3 linked regions of the Callithrix jacchus genome follow. The main gene of each other region encodes a partner of the protein of the gene in region 2 in a complex. Links are inferred from orthologs where the notes say so. Each region holds a gene or a part of one and is shown on either strand. Other genes may lie near its edges.

Region 1 (4,815 bases), on a different chromosome or scaffold from region 2:
TTTCAAATTAGAGGAAAATTATAATTGTTAGTGTGAGTCCATCTTTAATATGTATTATCAAAAATGTCTTAATGAGCCAGGTACAGTGGCTCACACCTGTAATCCCAGCACTTTAGGAGCCTGAGGCAGGCAGATCATTTGATGTTGGGAGTTTGAGAATAGCCTGGCCAATATGGTGAAACCTCATCTCTCCTAAAAATACAAAAATTAGCCAGGCGTGGTGGCGGGCACCTAAAATCCCAGCTACTTTGGAGGCTGAGACAGAACTGCTTGAACCTGGAAGGCTGAGGTTGCAGTGAGCAGAGATCACACCACTGCACTCCAGCTTGGGCTACAGAGTGAGACTTGGTCTCAAAAAATAAAAGTCTTAATGATCTTTTACAATGATATACAATAAGAAATATCATTGGAAAGATTTCAATGTAAAAGTTTACATATATTAGATTATATATGTAAATAATATATGTAAAATACATAAAATGTATATGTTTTTCATATATATGAAAACTAATAACATTCAAACTCCTTTCTAGGAGTATAAAGTCATAATATAATGAAACTTAGTGTTATTGTAGAAGCCTTTGAATTTTCAGGAGAGTTCCAGAATGAATTAAGCAATTATTGTTATGAAATACCAAACTGTACATCCTACTCACTGCCTCTGTGACTTCTGTAGGGCAATTATATGGCCACAGATGAAACAGGAGGAAGCTAAAGAATTTCAAGTCAAGAAAGGGCAAAGTTCCACCATACCCTGAGGCAAGTTGAGGGAGAAGCCCTCAAAATCTGGCCATCAGAGTTCAGTTTTATCTGGAAAACCCCAAACTTCCCTGATTTTCTTACACTAAAGTTAAAGGTACAGTTGAATTTCTAGATTTTGAACAGCAGTTTGCAACCTGTGCTTTGTAACATCTCTGGCTTTCTCTGACAACTTCATGACTTTCTGAAATTCTTTAAACAGAGTCCATTTTAATTCACTAAAATTTAAATACTATATATGCCATAAATCACTTTCAGGGAGAGAAAGGAAGAAGGGCCTGTGGTGGAAAAGAGATCAAGGAACTTCCAGAGGTGGGAAAAAATTCCAGGAATAACATCTCAAAAAGAAAACAGGAGAAATTACTTACCAAAATACAAAATATATACAGCATGCCTCACTTGCAAGAAGTTAACAATTTAGATAATTCAATTCAACAATCACTGACTGAACACCAACTACATCCAGGGAAAGCAGAAGGCACTGAAAGATCTACTTCCCCTTGGGCTACACTAAAGGAGGGCCCTTAGCAGAAGACAGGGAGAGCTGGCCCTTACATTCAGGGAGGTGCCATTGCTTTATGCAGAGCCTGGAGGATGCAGTGACACTCTGAAGCCAGGTAAGGTGGTCTAGGCACTCCCCGGATGCTGAGGTCAATCCTCCAAGTAATACCACATTTAGGAAGCAAAGGGGGCTTGCAGTGATTACTGCAAGTTAGAATTTTTTGTTTGTTTCTAAAACTTTGGCTCTTAAACTTGGCGCACAGAGTGATCACATTCTCTTCATTCTGAGCGATGTTGAATTCTTCCAAATTCTGCCTAGATCAGTTGTCATTCTGTATGACAGAACAGCTTTTGATGCTTGTTCCTGTTTGAAAAATCTGAACGCAGTAAAGGATGAGGCGGGGAGAGAGTTTACTGAGCACTTCCTCCTCTTTGAGTGAAAAGTTGTAAAATACCCCCTTTTCTTGTGATAGCAGATCTCACATTTGGAAAACTCATGACACATGCCAAATGAAGTCACAAATCAAACACCCTTCCTAACTTTCAGGGTGTTGAAAAGAAGTACACAAGGAAATTTTTTTATTAGCATCATTATTTTATCGGGGAGGGTCATGGAAAGAAGTAATTTTTCCCCCTTTCATCCGGTAGAGATGGCAGACTGGGTTCTGTTTCTCCTCCTTTTTATTTAAACTAAAGGAACATGGATCCAACTGGAATCGCCTATTAAAACCATCAGTTCTTAACAGCAAAATCGATTTTCACAGTGTCTCCGGGCAAAGCGCCCGTTACTCCCTGAGCCTCTGCCACAGGTGGACGCGGAGCAACAGACACTCGTTTGCCCTCAGGTCCCTGCGCCCGGAGACAGAAGCCACGCGGGCGCGCTCGAGGTGCAGGGCTCTTTGTCGAGAGTCCAGCGTGGCGCCGGGCCCCATTGGTTACGCGTCCGCTCGGGGCCATCCTGGTCCCTCGTCCCTCCCCCATCCCGGCGTCCAGGACCCGGGCGCAGGCCACATGGTCCTCGGATCGCTCGGTCCCGGATCCCCGCAGGGCGCGTCCAAACCACGCCGCCAGACCCACGCCGCGAGGGGCTGGGCTTCCCCGGGGGCCACGGGTTCCGAAGTCCGCCCCCGTCCCCGCCTCCCGAGCTCACCGCTTTGAGATCCAGAACGCCGTCCTTGGCCTCCTGCAACAGCGACACGAACTTGGTGGTGAGCAGCCCCAGGCTCTTCTCGTGCCTGCTGCTGCCGCCCCCAACGCCCCCAAGCTGCTGATGCGACGGCGGCTGGGGAGCTTGCGCCTGCGGAGGCTGCGGCTGCGGCCGCTGGTCCTGCCCCTGCCCTGGCGGTGCCTGCTGGCCGGAGCTCGCGGGCTCCGCCGCCGCCATCGCTTCCCGGCCCCGCGGTGGTCGGGCCCCCGCGCACTTTTGCTCGCCTGCCCCGCCCGCGGCCACCTGCCGGGTCGGCTCCGCCGCTGCTGCTTCCCGGCCCTCCGAGAGCGGCAGTGCTGGTCGCAGGCTGCTGCAAACAACAGGTGTACGGCACCCACGGGAGCCGGGGCCGCTTGTCACTCCAGGCCTCCGCCCCCTCCCCAAGCCCAGGGAAGCGTGAATGAGGCCCAAGACCAAGAGGGGAGGGGGTGGAAGCGAGAAGGGCTGAGAGGGGTGGGGACCTGAGTTTAAATGGCAGGAAGTGACGCGCCGCCCGCCGTTACCTAGAAACGCATTTTTCTGTAGGAAGGAGGAGAGCACGAGGAGGAGGAGGGGCGTCGGTGCGAGTGTTTCACACTCGCCTCCCGGGCGTTCACGAGCTGCCCCGAGGAATGGTGATCCCACACGGCAAAGCAAGGAGGAAGAAAAAAACGGAGACAAAAGAAAAAAGACTTTACCTGGGCAGAAAGTCACAATGCCCGGAGGCCAAACGTTTCTGAGTCGTGAAGTTGGTTGGCTGCTCAGTTTGCAGAGCTGCAGGAGATCAGCGGTCGGTTACTTACTTTTGCTGGACGGTTTCTGCTTTCTTGCTCTTTTCGAGCTCTAGCATTGTTTGCAAATATTTGTACGCGAAAAGGCATCGTGGAGTTTCAGGGCTGGTTTTCGTCAATCCTTTCCAAGACCTTTACTTTCCACATGGAGAAACAAGTGTAGAGGGAGAGGTTGTGAATTGCCAAAGACATGCCGCTAGATCCCAGATCTCCTGTGCTTGACCAAAGTTCTTAATATCTTATTGAACCAAATTGTATTGTATTTGGAATATTGGGCAGTCAGAGGCCCTTGGTCTTCAGTGATATTCCAAACCATTGATGGCAAATGACATCGTGCAGATCTGAGTAAAAGAAAGTTGTTGGGGTTTTTTCCTCATTATATTACAAACTCTTGAGAATTCACATTAAATTTTAAATGACTTGTGTCACATTCAACACTTTGAATATAGTAGACAATAAAGATTAGGTGAATGAAACCAGGCGCAGTGGCTTACGTCTGTAATCCCAGCACTTTGGGAGGCCAAGGCAGGCAGATCATTTGAGGTCAGGAGTTTGAGACCAGCCTGGCCAACATAGTGAAATCCCATTTTTACTAAAAATACAAAAATTAACTGGGCTTGGTGGTGCCCGCCCATAGTCCCAGCTACTCCGGAGACTGAGGCAGGAGAATCACTTGAACCCGGGAGTGGAGGTTTCAGTGAGCCAAGATCTGCCACTGTACTCCAGTCTGGGTGACAAAGTGAGACTCTGTATCAAAAAAAAAAAAAAAAAATTAGGTAAATGAAAATTCCTTATGGCAGTAATTAATCAAGAAAATTTCATGCAAGAAAGATTTTGTTTAATTTTAAATAACAATAAACTAACAAAAAAGGGTCTCTGAAGTGAGGTCAAATACAACAGCAGCATTAACTAGTAAAGCTAAATGCACCGTTTATAACACATCATAGGCACAGGCCTTTATTTATAACCTTCGTTAATAACTTATTCATTATATCCTTTACTTTAATCAAAGAACTCTATAAACAAAACAACATTGAAAATCTGAAGTAAAACATGAAAAATTCAGCTGATACAACCACTTTCAAACAACATATCTGAAAAAGGTTACATCTGTGTGATTTGACGTGGGACACATTGTTAACAAGTTTTGCAAATTAATTTTGTTGATTGTTGTCAAATAGTATTTCTTAGAACGTGCTGAAAGAGGAAGAGTCTAACATGTTTTTAACTTGAAAACAGAACATTCTGTTATATGAGCAGGGACAGGAATTAATAAAACTAAATATATTGATATTTTAAAAACTTGCACTTATATGGTGTCTTAGTTTGAGAAAGTACCATCAACCAGGTGGCTTAAACAACAGAAATTAATTTTCTCACAGCTCTGGAGGCTGCAAGTCCAAGATCAGAAGGCTACCATGGCCAGGTTTGGTGAGGCCCCCTTCTTGGCCAGCAGATTGTGGCTTTCTCACTGTGTCCTCACATGGCAGAGAGAGAGAGAGAAACAGAGAGAGCGTAAACTCTCAGATTTCTTTTTTTTTTTTTTTGAGACAGTTTCGCTCTTGTTACCCAGGCTGG
Region 2 (4,945 bases):
TTTTTCTGATTCTGGTGAATTCTTTCCGTGGGGCCGTAGGGTCCCAGCCTAGATAGGGTGGCTTTAAGGTGAGAAATTGTGAAGGTGCTGTATCTGCCAATCCTTTTCTTGTCAGCCTAAACTTTGGGTGTGGACTTACTCCCTGAGAGGGTCAGAGATTCCTCCCTGAGCTCCTAAACCATCCCAGATCTTGTGAAAATCTGGCTGGTCCATATCATCAGCTGAGAGTGGGGTCTGGCTGCCCATGTGGGCTGGGCCCTGACCCGCCCTCTGTCGTGTGCTTCATGGAGCTGCCAGGATGGGCTGTAGGAAGAGGGTTTCAGCTTGTTCCTTGATCATTCTCTTTCATGATGGGTATGATACTGACACAGCAGCACACATGTGCTGTTTGTAAGTCAGTGTGTGCAGGTATTGCAAGGCTGTTCATGCCTTTTTAGGGAAGACAGGCTATGTGACTGCACAGCGGGATGTCCTCTGTGGCACAGTGCAGAAAATCCTGGACAAGTGAAGGATGTCTGGAAGCTTCCCCAGCTGTCCATCCTGCGGCACTGCGGGTTGTCTGTGTGTCTTGTGTTGTTTCTGTTTCGTGACCATTTGCTTCATTTTCTTTCCTTTTTCAGAAATGGCTCAGGGAACTGTTGGAGGTGTGTTCATCACGACAGCAGGTTCCACATCTAACGGCACGAGGTTCTCCGCCAGGTGACAGCGGTTGAGGGTGTGGGAGAAGCATTGTCTGGGCCTCCTGTGGGGCCCAGGGGCCAAGGCAGGGTGGACGTCTCAGATGTGGCCATCAGGTCTGAGGCTGCTCCGACGTGCTTGTCTTCCCAGGCAGTGGCCCCACCGGCTTTCCCTGTGTGGAGAGCTGCTTTTCCTAGTTGGTTTCTCCTCACTAAAAACTAAAAGTAATACGTGGTGGTTGTTTTTTTTTTTGTTAAAGTATCACCTAAAAAGTAAGTAGGAATGAAAACCACCCAAATCCTTCTGTCCCGGGCAGCCCAAATAACAGCAAGTATTTCTAGTTTTTTTCTCCTATTTTTCAGAACACGTCTGCGGTCACAGTGCATTTGTATTTCAGAACGCATTTGTAGTCATGGCGCATGTATTTTTCAGAACGCATCTGTAATCACAGCACACATATTTTTCAGAACGCATCTGCAGTTACAGTCCACGTATTTTTCAGAGCAGTCACAGTGCACATATTTTTCAGAATGCATCTGTGGTCACAGCGCACGTATTTTCCGAACATGTTTGTGGTCACAGTGCATGTATTTTTCAGAATACGTTTGTGGTCACAGTGCACTTTCTTTTCAGAACACATCTGTGGTCAGAACGCACATGTTTTCTTCCATGCATTTTCACCTTACATTTTATTGTATTTATATATATTATTTCTGTGCTATTAAAGGGCCTTTATTTAAATAAATTCGTATTTAATCTTTGACCTGCCATCCCATAGGGTAGAATGATGTCCCTAGGTATTTATCTTGGTGCTTCAAAGAGAAATATAGCTTTTACAACAGATATTAACAAAACAAAGATTTTATTGACTTTTATATTGCATTGTGATACAATATGTAGTATTACTTTATATTAATCCTAAGTGTTCATAAAATCTTTAATTGGAAATCTAAGAACTTAGTAACCTGTGGGTCCAGATAACAGGGCACGACGTAGTGAGTTGCAGTGCGCATGAGCCTGTGTTGGAATGTGCTGTGGCCGTGAGATGTGACAAGTGTGTCAGGGGTGCATGTAGCTTCCTGGCCAGCTCTGGGGTTACAAAGCCAGTCTCTTCCAGTCTTGGCCTCACCTGTAAGGTGAGACTGGTGATGAGTCGTTGATCTGTGGCAAGGATCAGTGAAGTGGTGATAGAAGAAGGGACTTGTCACAGTGCCTGGTAACAAGGTTTTGACCGAGGCCGGTTCTCTTTCTCTTCAGCTGTGTGTGAATGTGTAGGGGTCAGTCTGTAAACATGTTTAACACTGGTTCTTCCATGAGGTGAAATGTGGGTGTTTTTAGGACTTTCATCATCAGATAATCCTTTTCATGGATGTGATTCTCAGACTTGTCAGTTTTTCATAACAATGGAAACAAAGCTACTACCATTTCTTATGAAATACCAATTTTCAAAGTGGCATGATGGGACATTTTATGAAAGTACCTCATGAAAGGACATCTAGGCAGTTCCCAGTTATCAGGAAAACTACAGTGAGCAGCTTTGCGGCTGAATTTCTCACCATTTCTGACGTGTTTCTAAGATACAGAATCACTTCATCAAAGGCATATTGACTCATTTTCATTGTAGTTAATAAATACTATTAAAATATATTAAAATATATGCATATATTTTTATGCAGTTGGAAAACATTTTTAAATCTTGGAACATTGTGAGCTGTGATTAGTGGTAGGTTTTTGTGGTGCTGCAAACCCTCTGGGTTCCCAGTCCATGCTGCTAGATTCTAGCCGTGCTCTGGACTACATCCTGTCCTGCCCCAGGCTCTCTTTTTTTCCTGTTGCTGGTTATGAGTGAAAGTCCTGGAGGGAGGGATCTAACAGTTTTTCAGTTCATTGCCTCTGGGCACTGCTCCTGATGGAATGATGAGTGAGGGAGAGGGAGCTTGTGGCTCTGCTCAGCCTCCTATTTCTGGCATTGTGGATTCCAGGAGACAGGGTCCGAGGAGAACCAGACGGGGATGGAGTGAGTGCCAGAGTGCTGGCGTGCTGTAGTGCAGACACTCATGACCTCCCAGTTCTGTGTGTGTGACTGACAAAACTGACACCTGTTCGGCGCAGCCTGTCCTTCAGCCGCAGGCCCTGAGGTGAGGGGAGGCCGAGTGGACTGCTCTGCACTGACTGCCTCATCCGCCTCCTGCCTTGCAGTGACCTGACCAACGGTGCAGATGGGATGCTGGCCACAAGCTCCAACGGGTCTCAGTACAGTGGCTCCAGGGTGGAGACCCCAGTGTCCTACGTCGGGGAGGATGACGAGGATGACGATGACTTCAATGAGAATGACGAGGATGACTGACGTCCTCCCCACTTCAAATTCAGCTTCAGGAAAACGTTTAGGGAAAAGAAACTTTTTTTTTTAATGTGGGTTTTCTGTTTCCTTTTGGCCTACTCCCAAGAAGATATTGGTAAGCTATTGAATTTAGATATGCACCTCTGATAAGCAAGGGTTGTTTACCGTAGGATTAGGACGTGCTGTGGATGTGTGTTTTGATACCAGTGTGCTGATGCAGAGCGTTTATTTACTTTTTAGGATTTTGTGTTTTCATTTTTCTGGTTTTCTCTAAGTGCAGAGTTCAGTTTCGCCCCTGAACAGTTTTTGCTGAGTCTGCTGAAGAAATTATATTTCATCCACATCCATGAAAATAAAACACCCTCCTGTGGTGGATGGTGAGCACCTGGTGCCATTTATTTGCCGTGAGTCTGGACGGCACCCCCGCTGGTGGATAGCAGGACTCTGTGGATTGTTCCATTTGGTCAGTGGTACTGTGTCCAGAGCCCCAAGCAAACAGCAGAATTCGACTTTCTAAACAATAAACTTCATCAACCTTATTGACTTTATTTTCCCTTAAATTATATTGACTGTTGTGATTCCATCAAGCTTATCAACTCTTTTCTCTCCCTATTTGCAGCAACAAATTGCAAAGTGCTTTTGTTTGTTTGGTTAGGGCTTATTGCCACGCTGGTGCGGCTATGGAGACTGTCTGGAAGGCTTGGAATGGTTTATTGCTTATGGTAAAATTTGCCTGATTTCTTACAGGCAGCATTTGGAAACCTTTTATTATATAGTTGTTTACATACTTATAAGTCTATCATTTAAAAACATGTACTGAAACAAATGTTGTATTTGTTTCATAAGCATCTTCCTGTAATCTATTATAAAATTGAAATTAAATATAGAGAATGTTTTAACAATTTTTTAACTCAAAATTTGTCAATCATTTTTAATAGTTCTTTTTTTATAAAAAGGAAAAGGAATTTAAGGACAGGCAGTAGTCTCTTTTAAAGTTTATTCACAAAACCCATTAACTGCACAGTTGCTGTTAGCTGCCTGTTCTGAAATGATAGTCTTTTTATTGAAACACAAATAAACTTTTCTGTAATATTTTATGGAATATAAAGAGACTTTAATTGTTTGACTTGTTTAACTTGGCACTGTTAGTTTTTATTAATAAAACGCGCATGGGCATTTTGAACAAGCTGTGTTTCTCTAATTCAGGATTATTGTCTAGAAATTTGTCTGTCTTGTTGGTCTTACTTTATACTTGAGTGAGAAAGTAGGTTGTTATTAGGCCCAGACACAGTGCGTCCTGGTGGTCCCTGTGGGCACACCCCCCGACCAAATTTTGGTCAGAAGCACATCTTCCGGGAGCCCACCCTGAAGATGGAGAGTGGCCAAGGGTGGAGGTCTTGGATATAAGGAAAGGAGGAGGCACCTTTTTTGGTGCCTGTGGTGCAGAGAAAGATAAGCCAAGTTCCTTGGCTTTTTTTCACGATGAAAATTGAGACTTAAAAATGTAAAAGTTTGACTTCCAGAACAAGAATAAGATTGGGAGGCTTCTGGGAAGATGGTGGAATAAGGAAGCCAGGAATCTGACGTCTACTCCCAGGCAGGATCTGCTGGATGCAGCTGTTCTGTAACTACGGAATCTACCAAAGGCTTAAAGCTTACAAGGGAGCATATGGCAGTTAATTTTGGTCAATTTCAGCTTTCTACCCTACCCCTGTTCCTTCATTTTTCTCCTTCTCCTTCTGGGAGCCAGACATTGAAGACTAGGACGTACAAAAATAGCTGTGCCTATGGGGCTGCCCAGGGAGAGGCTCAGAAACGGCCTGAGAAGACCTTATGTTTACATCTCAGGCTGAACCATGGCACAGGTACAGCCTAGAGCTATTAAAAACACAATAAACAAAGCAATAACAAAAATGGCAAATCCAG
Region 3 (4,941 bases), on a different chromosome or scaffold from region 2:
GGAGGCTGAGGCAGGAGAATTGCTTGAACCCAGGAGGCGGAGGTTGCGGTGAGCCAGGATCGCGCCACTGCACTCCAGCCTAGGGAACAACAGCGAAACTCCGTCTCAAAAAAAAGAACAAAAAGATGGAGCTAGAAGAAAACCAAGTCAGGCTTCATGTTACAAGGTTCAATAGTTTTTTAGAAAAAGAAAGGGAGAGTTGGCTGGGGGCAGTGGTTCACGCCTGTAATCCCAACACTGTAGGAGGCCAAAGCTGGTCAACATGGTGAAACCCCGACTCTACTAAAATTACAAAAATTAGCCAGGTGTGGTGGCTCATGCCTATAATCCCAGCTACTGGGAGACTGAGACAGGAAAACTGCTTGAACCCGGGAGGCGGAGGATACAGTGACCCAAGGAGGTCTTATCATTGCACTTTAGCCTGGGTGACAAGAGCAAAACTCCATCTCACCCCCCGACAAAAAAAAAGAAGAAAGCGGGAAATTACAGGCTTGGCCAAACCTCCTAGCAGTCAAATGGCAAGAAGCATAATCAACGTCCATGAAACAGAACATCCCAGCTGCTGAGGAGACACAATGGGCCCTAAGGTCTGAGACACACATCCCCTTCCCATCCACCGAGTCCTCAGAATTAAGTCCCCCAGAGGACCTATCCTTTCACTGGCTCCTCCTCTTCATCCCCTCTGACAGGACATCAGGAAGACACTCCAGGCTCAGCTCCTCTGGCCAGCCCCAGCTACCATCAGCCATCTCCTCCCCATGGCACTCACCTCCTCGTGGGTCCATTTGACCTTGCACTTGCTATCCCTCTGCTCTGGCACATCTGAATCTGTGTCCTGGTAGTGCAGCTCATCCAACTCCTCGCTATGGAGAAAGCAGGCCAAAAGGTTAAGGATGTCACTGGGCTGGAGATCAGTATGGCATGATCACAGCCTTAACTCCTGGACTCAAATAATCCTCCCACTTCAGCCTCCCAAGTAGCTGGGACTACAGGGGCATGCCACCACATCCAGCTAATTGTTTGTATTTTTTATGCAGACATGGGGCCCAGAGTGATCTCGAACTCTCCCACCTCGGGAGTAACTAAAAAAACAACAACAATTGAGCGGTAACTATGCCCATTTGTTGTTTTTCTTGAGACAGAATGGATCTGTTACCCAGACTGGAATGCAGTGGCATAATCATAGCTCACTGCAGACTCCAACTCCTAGGCTCAAGCAATCCTCCCACCTTGGCCTTCCAAAGTGCTGGCATTACAAGCCTAAGCCACCGTAACTGGCCAAGTTGTTGCTTGTGCTTGGATTTTTTTCTTTTTCTTGAGACGGAGTTTCGCTCTTCTTACCCAGGCTGGATGGAGTGCAATGGCACGATCTCGGCTCACCGCAACCTCCGCCTCCTGGGTTCAGGCAATTCTCCCGCCTCAGCCTCCTGAGTAGCTGGGATTACAGGCACGCACCACCATGCCCAGCTAATTTTTTGTATTTTTAGTAGAGACAGGGTTTCACCATGTTGACCAGGATGGTCTCAATCTCTCGACCTCGTGATCCACCCCCGCCTCGGCCTCCCAAAGCGCTGGGATTACAGGCGTGAGCCACCGCGCCCGGCCCCTTTTTCTTTTATTTTGTAATGACAGTCTCGCTATGTTGCCCAGACTCATCTTGAACTCCTGGGCTCAAGTGATCCTCCTGCCTCAGCCTCCCAAGCAACTGGGATTACAGGTGTGCACCACCATATCCAGCTTATGTCCATTTTTGCAAATCGCTTCTCTCTTTTGCAAATCCCTTTTCAATCCTTGCCTACACACAGGCATAATTAATGGAAAGAAAAATCAGTGTACTGGCCAGGCACAGTGGCTCACACCTGTAATCTCAGCACTTTGGGAGGCTGAGGAGAGAGCATGAGGTCAGGAGTTCGAGACCAGCCTGGCCAACACACTGAGCCCCGTCTCTACTAAAAATACAGGCGCCTATCCTCAATAGCAGGTGTCATACATGATTTAAAAAAAAAAAAATACAGGCGCCTATAATCCCAGCAGCTTGGGAGGCTGTGGGAGGAGAATCACTTGAACCCGGGAGATGGAGGTTGCAGTGAGCTGAGATGGCGCCATTGCATTCCAGCTCAGGAGACAGTGCAAGACTCTGTCTCAAAAAAAAAAAAAAAAAAGAAAGAGGCCGGGCACGGTGGCTCAAGCCTGTAATCCCAGCACTTTGGGAGGCCGAGGCAGGTGGATCACAAGGTCAAGACATCGAGACCATCCTGGTCAACATGGTGAAACCTCGTCTCTACTAAAAATACAAAAATTAGCTGGGCATGGTGGTGCGTGCCTGTAATCCCAGCTACTCAGGAGGCTGAGGCAGGAGAATTGCCTGAACCCAGGAGGCGGAGGTTGCGGTGAGCTGAGATCGCGCCATTGCACTCCAGCCTGGGTAACAAGAGCTAAACTCCGTCTCACAAAAAAAAAAAAAAGAAAGAAAAATCAGTGTACAGTATATTCTAACATGGCTGCAGAGGAAAAAAAAAAAAAAGTACAAGCTGCTTTGAAGGCTGGGTGTTTTTCTTGTACAAGGGAATTTTCCAAGTTGCTCCAAAAAGCCCTTGTATTTACCCAGTGTAATAGTTACAAAAATGGAAATCACACAATCCACGTCCAGAGATGTCAGGCACATGAGGAAAGTTAGTAACCTTTCCCCAACTCAACAACAGAAACTGCATCAGATCATCTTGGTCTGCTGAGTTGCTAGGTCATGCATTTGTAAACTGGAAGAAGCTTACAGGTTCCAAACAAGGCAAGTCTAGGTCTCATGACCAAATGAAAGGCGACTTACTGTGCTATCCACATTACCTTCTCCTTGTTCTCCACAGCTCACCATTCCTTCCTAGAGTCACTCCTACATTTCCACAGCACATGGAAAAACTTCCTGCCTCAGGTCCTTACACTGCAACTGCCTATCTCTACACAGTCTACAAAGGTCAGCTCCACCTCCGCATCCCAGGGCTTATCACCAAAAGCCTTAAGAAATGTTTGCCCAGTGACTAAATACGCCACAAATGAATGAAAAAAAATGTGCAAAGCAGCTGCCTAGTAGTCGATAAGAAATACTAATTAAATTTTTTAGGCCAGGCAAGACCCGGTTTCAAAAGAAAAAATTTTCAGGAATAGAAAAGGAAGAGATGGGGGACAGGGAGCGGTTTTTTAAAAATAAAATAAATAAATAAATAAGGGGGGGAAAAAAGGAAGAAATGGTGTCGACTGCCAGCAATACATCAGTCACAGAAGGCTCTGGAATTCATTCCTGACCCAGTTCATGGGTCCACCACCATTGCCATATAAAAGGCAAAAATCCAGAAGATACTAGTAACAGAAGGAAGCTGACTTTAAAAACAACTGCCCCCAGACTGCTCGTGACAGAAACCATCTTCGCTTCTCCAGCATCCAGCACAAACAAGGCCTGGCTTCTAGCAGAAGCTCACAAATACTCTTTTCAAAGATGAGAAGGGTGTCTGCATGTACACTCTCTGGTGCTCCAATGCTATTTATTTTTTTTATTTTTGAGAGTCTAATTTTTGTATTTTTAGTAGAGATGGTGTTTCACTATGTTGGTCAGGCTGGTCTCGAACTCTTGGCCTCGGTGAGCCACCATGCCCAGCCTCCAGTGCTGTTTGATACGGTCAGCATCTCAGATAGCTGGGACATTTCTGTGAGATAATATACTTTTTTTTTTTTTTTGAGACGGAGTTTCGCTGTTGTTACCCACACTGGAGTGCAATGGCGCTATCTCGGCTCACCGCAACTTCCGCCTCCTGGGTTCAAGCAATTCTCCTGCCTCAGCCTCCAGAGTAGCTGGGACTACAGGCGCGCAACCACCATGCCCAGCTAGTTTTTGTATTTTTAGTACAGACGGGGTTTCACCTTGTTGACCAGGATGGTTTCGATCTTTTGACCTCGTGATCCACCCGTCTCGGCTTCCCAAAGTGCTGGGATTATAACCCCATCTCTACTAAAAATACAAAAATTAGGCCGGGCGCGGTGGCTCACGCCTATAATCCCAGCACTTTTCGCTGCGAGTTTCCCAGCGAAACTCCGTCTCAAAATAAATAAATAAAATAAAACAAGTAGCCAGTTGTGGTGGCATGTGCCCATAATCCCAGCTACCCAGCCTATAGTCCCAGCTGGCTGAGGTGGGAAGATCACTTGAACCCGGGAGGGTTGAGGCTGCAGTTAGCTATTATTGATTGTACCACTACACTCTAACCTGGGCTGCAGAGTGAGACCCTGCCTCAAAAAAAAAAAAACGAAGAAAAAAAAATCAGAGCAGGGTCTGATAGGTGCCTGAACAGCAAATTCTTCCTGGACACTGGCGCTGCCCTGGGAAAGTGGGGCCTGAGGAACACAGTCCCTGTGGTAGGCGCCCCAACCACCACTCAGATCCCTATCCTCAGCCCGAAAGGGCAAAAATCTAGAGAGATGGAAGGCCTCATCTTTAAATGAAGCTATCATCTGAAGAGGGACGAAAGGTTCTCTGAGCGGCAGGGATCTAGGCAGGGAAGGACCCAGACAGGGAAGAGGTCAGGACTCCACAATCCTGTCTCCCAGGCGGGCTGAAAAGCCTGGAGCTCAGGCCCCAGGCACACAGGTGTAAGACAGGGATCTAGAGCCACAGACTGAGTTCCGGGATCCGGGATCCGGGCTCCGGGCTCGCCTCAGCCACTTAAGTCTCTGGGGAAATAAGTAAAATGGAGACCGCAGTTCCTGCCTTTGCCCCAGGGACTCGCTCTCCCTAGCACCTTCGACCCCAGCTGCCCAAAACTCCTCATGGGAACAGGAAGAGGTCTCAAACTGAACCCAGGTAGGGCACGGACCCGAGGTGGGAGAGACAAAGAGCCCCCAACTCAGCACCCCCCTCACAGTCGGGGGGAGAGGGCTTGGGGGGGCTCTGTGCAC

The links.
Region 1: the proteins of TFDP1 (region 2) and E2F5 are in contact, whole or in part, in a crystal structure (PDB 5TUV), measured with the Homo sapiens proteins. The link is inferred for Callithrix jacchus from reciprocal best matches to the Homo sapiens genes TFDP1 and E2F5. Residues at the interface, in NP_009042.1 of Homo sapiens: Glu201, Cys202, Leu205, Glu208, Arg209, Arg212, Leu213, Arg215, Ile216, Lys219, Gln220, Leu223, Leu226, Ile227, Gln230, Phe233, Leu236, Val237, Arg239, Asn240, Arg241, Arg249, Pro253, Ser255, Val256, Ile257, His258, Leu259, Pro260, Phe261; in NP_001942.2 of Homo sapiens: Val126, Arg129, Leu130, Lys134, Glu136, Ile137, Leu140, Glu141, Glu144, Leu147, Asp148, Gln150, Lys151, Leu154, Gln155, Ser157, Ile158, Val161, Met162, Ile166, Asn167, Asn168, Arg169, Phe170, Ser171, Tyr172, Val173, Thr174, His175, Asp177.
Region 3: TFDP1 (region 2) and MYBL2 share a complex: the UniProt entries of both Homo sapiens proteins name them as parts of the DREAM complex. The link is inferred for Callithrix jacchus from reciprocal best matches to the Homo sapiens genes TFDP1 and MYBL2.

Annotation. Positions count from the first base shown.
Region 1 is NC_133517.1:41,656,598-41,661,412, forward strand, and holds the start of E2F5 (transcription factor E2F5), read right to left. Parts: upstream 2,944-4,815; 5' UTR 2,645-2,943; coding exon 2,411-2,644; intron 1-2,410.
Region 2 is NC_133502.1:29,108,049-29,112,993, forward strand, and holds the end of TFDP1 (transcription factor Dp-1), read left to right. Parts: intron 1-620; coding exon 621-699; intron 700-2,877; coding exon 2,878-3,025; 3' UTR 3,026-4,205; downstream 4,206-4,945. UniProt on the Homo sapiens protein: Can stimulate E2F-dependent transcription.
Region 3 is NC_133506.1:39,047,375-39,052,315, reverse strand, and holds the start of MYBL2 (myb-related protein B), read right to left. Parts: upstream 2,944-4,941; 5' UTR 2,907-2,943; coding exon 2,842-2,906; exon of another isoform or gene 2,839-2,841; coding exon of another isoform or gene 2,825-2,838; intron 864-2,824; coding exon 770-863; intron 1-769. UniProt on the Homo sapiens protein: Transcription factor involved in the regulation of cell survival, proliferation, and differentiation. Transactivates the expression of the CLU gene.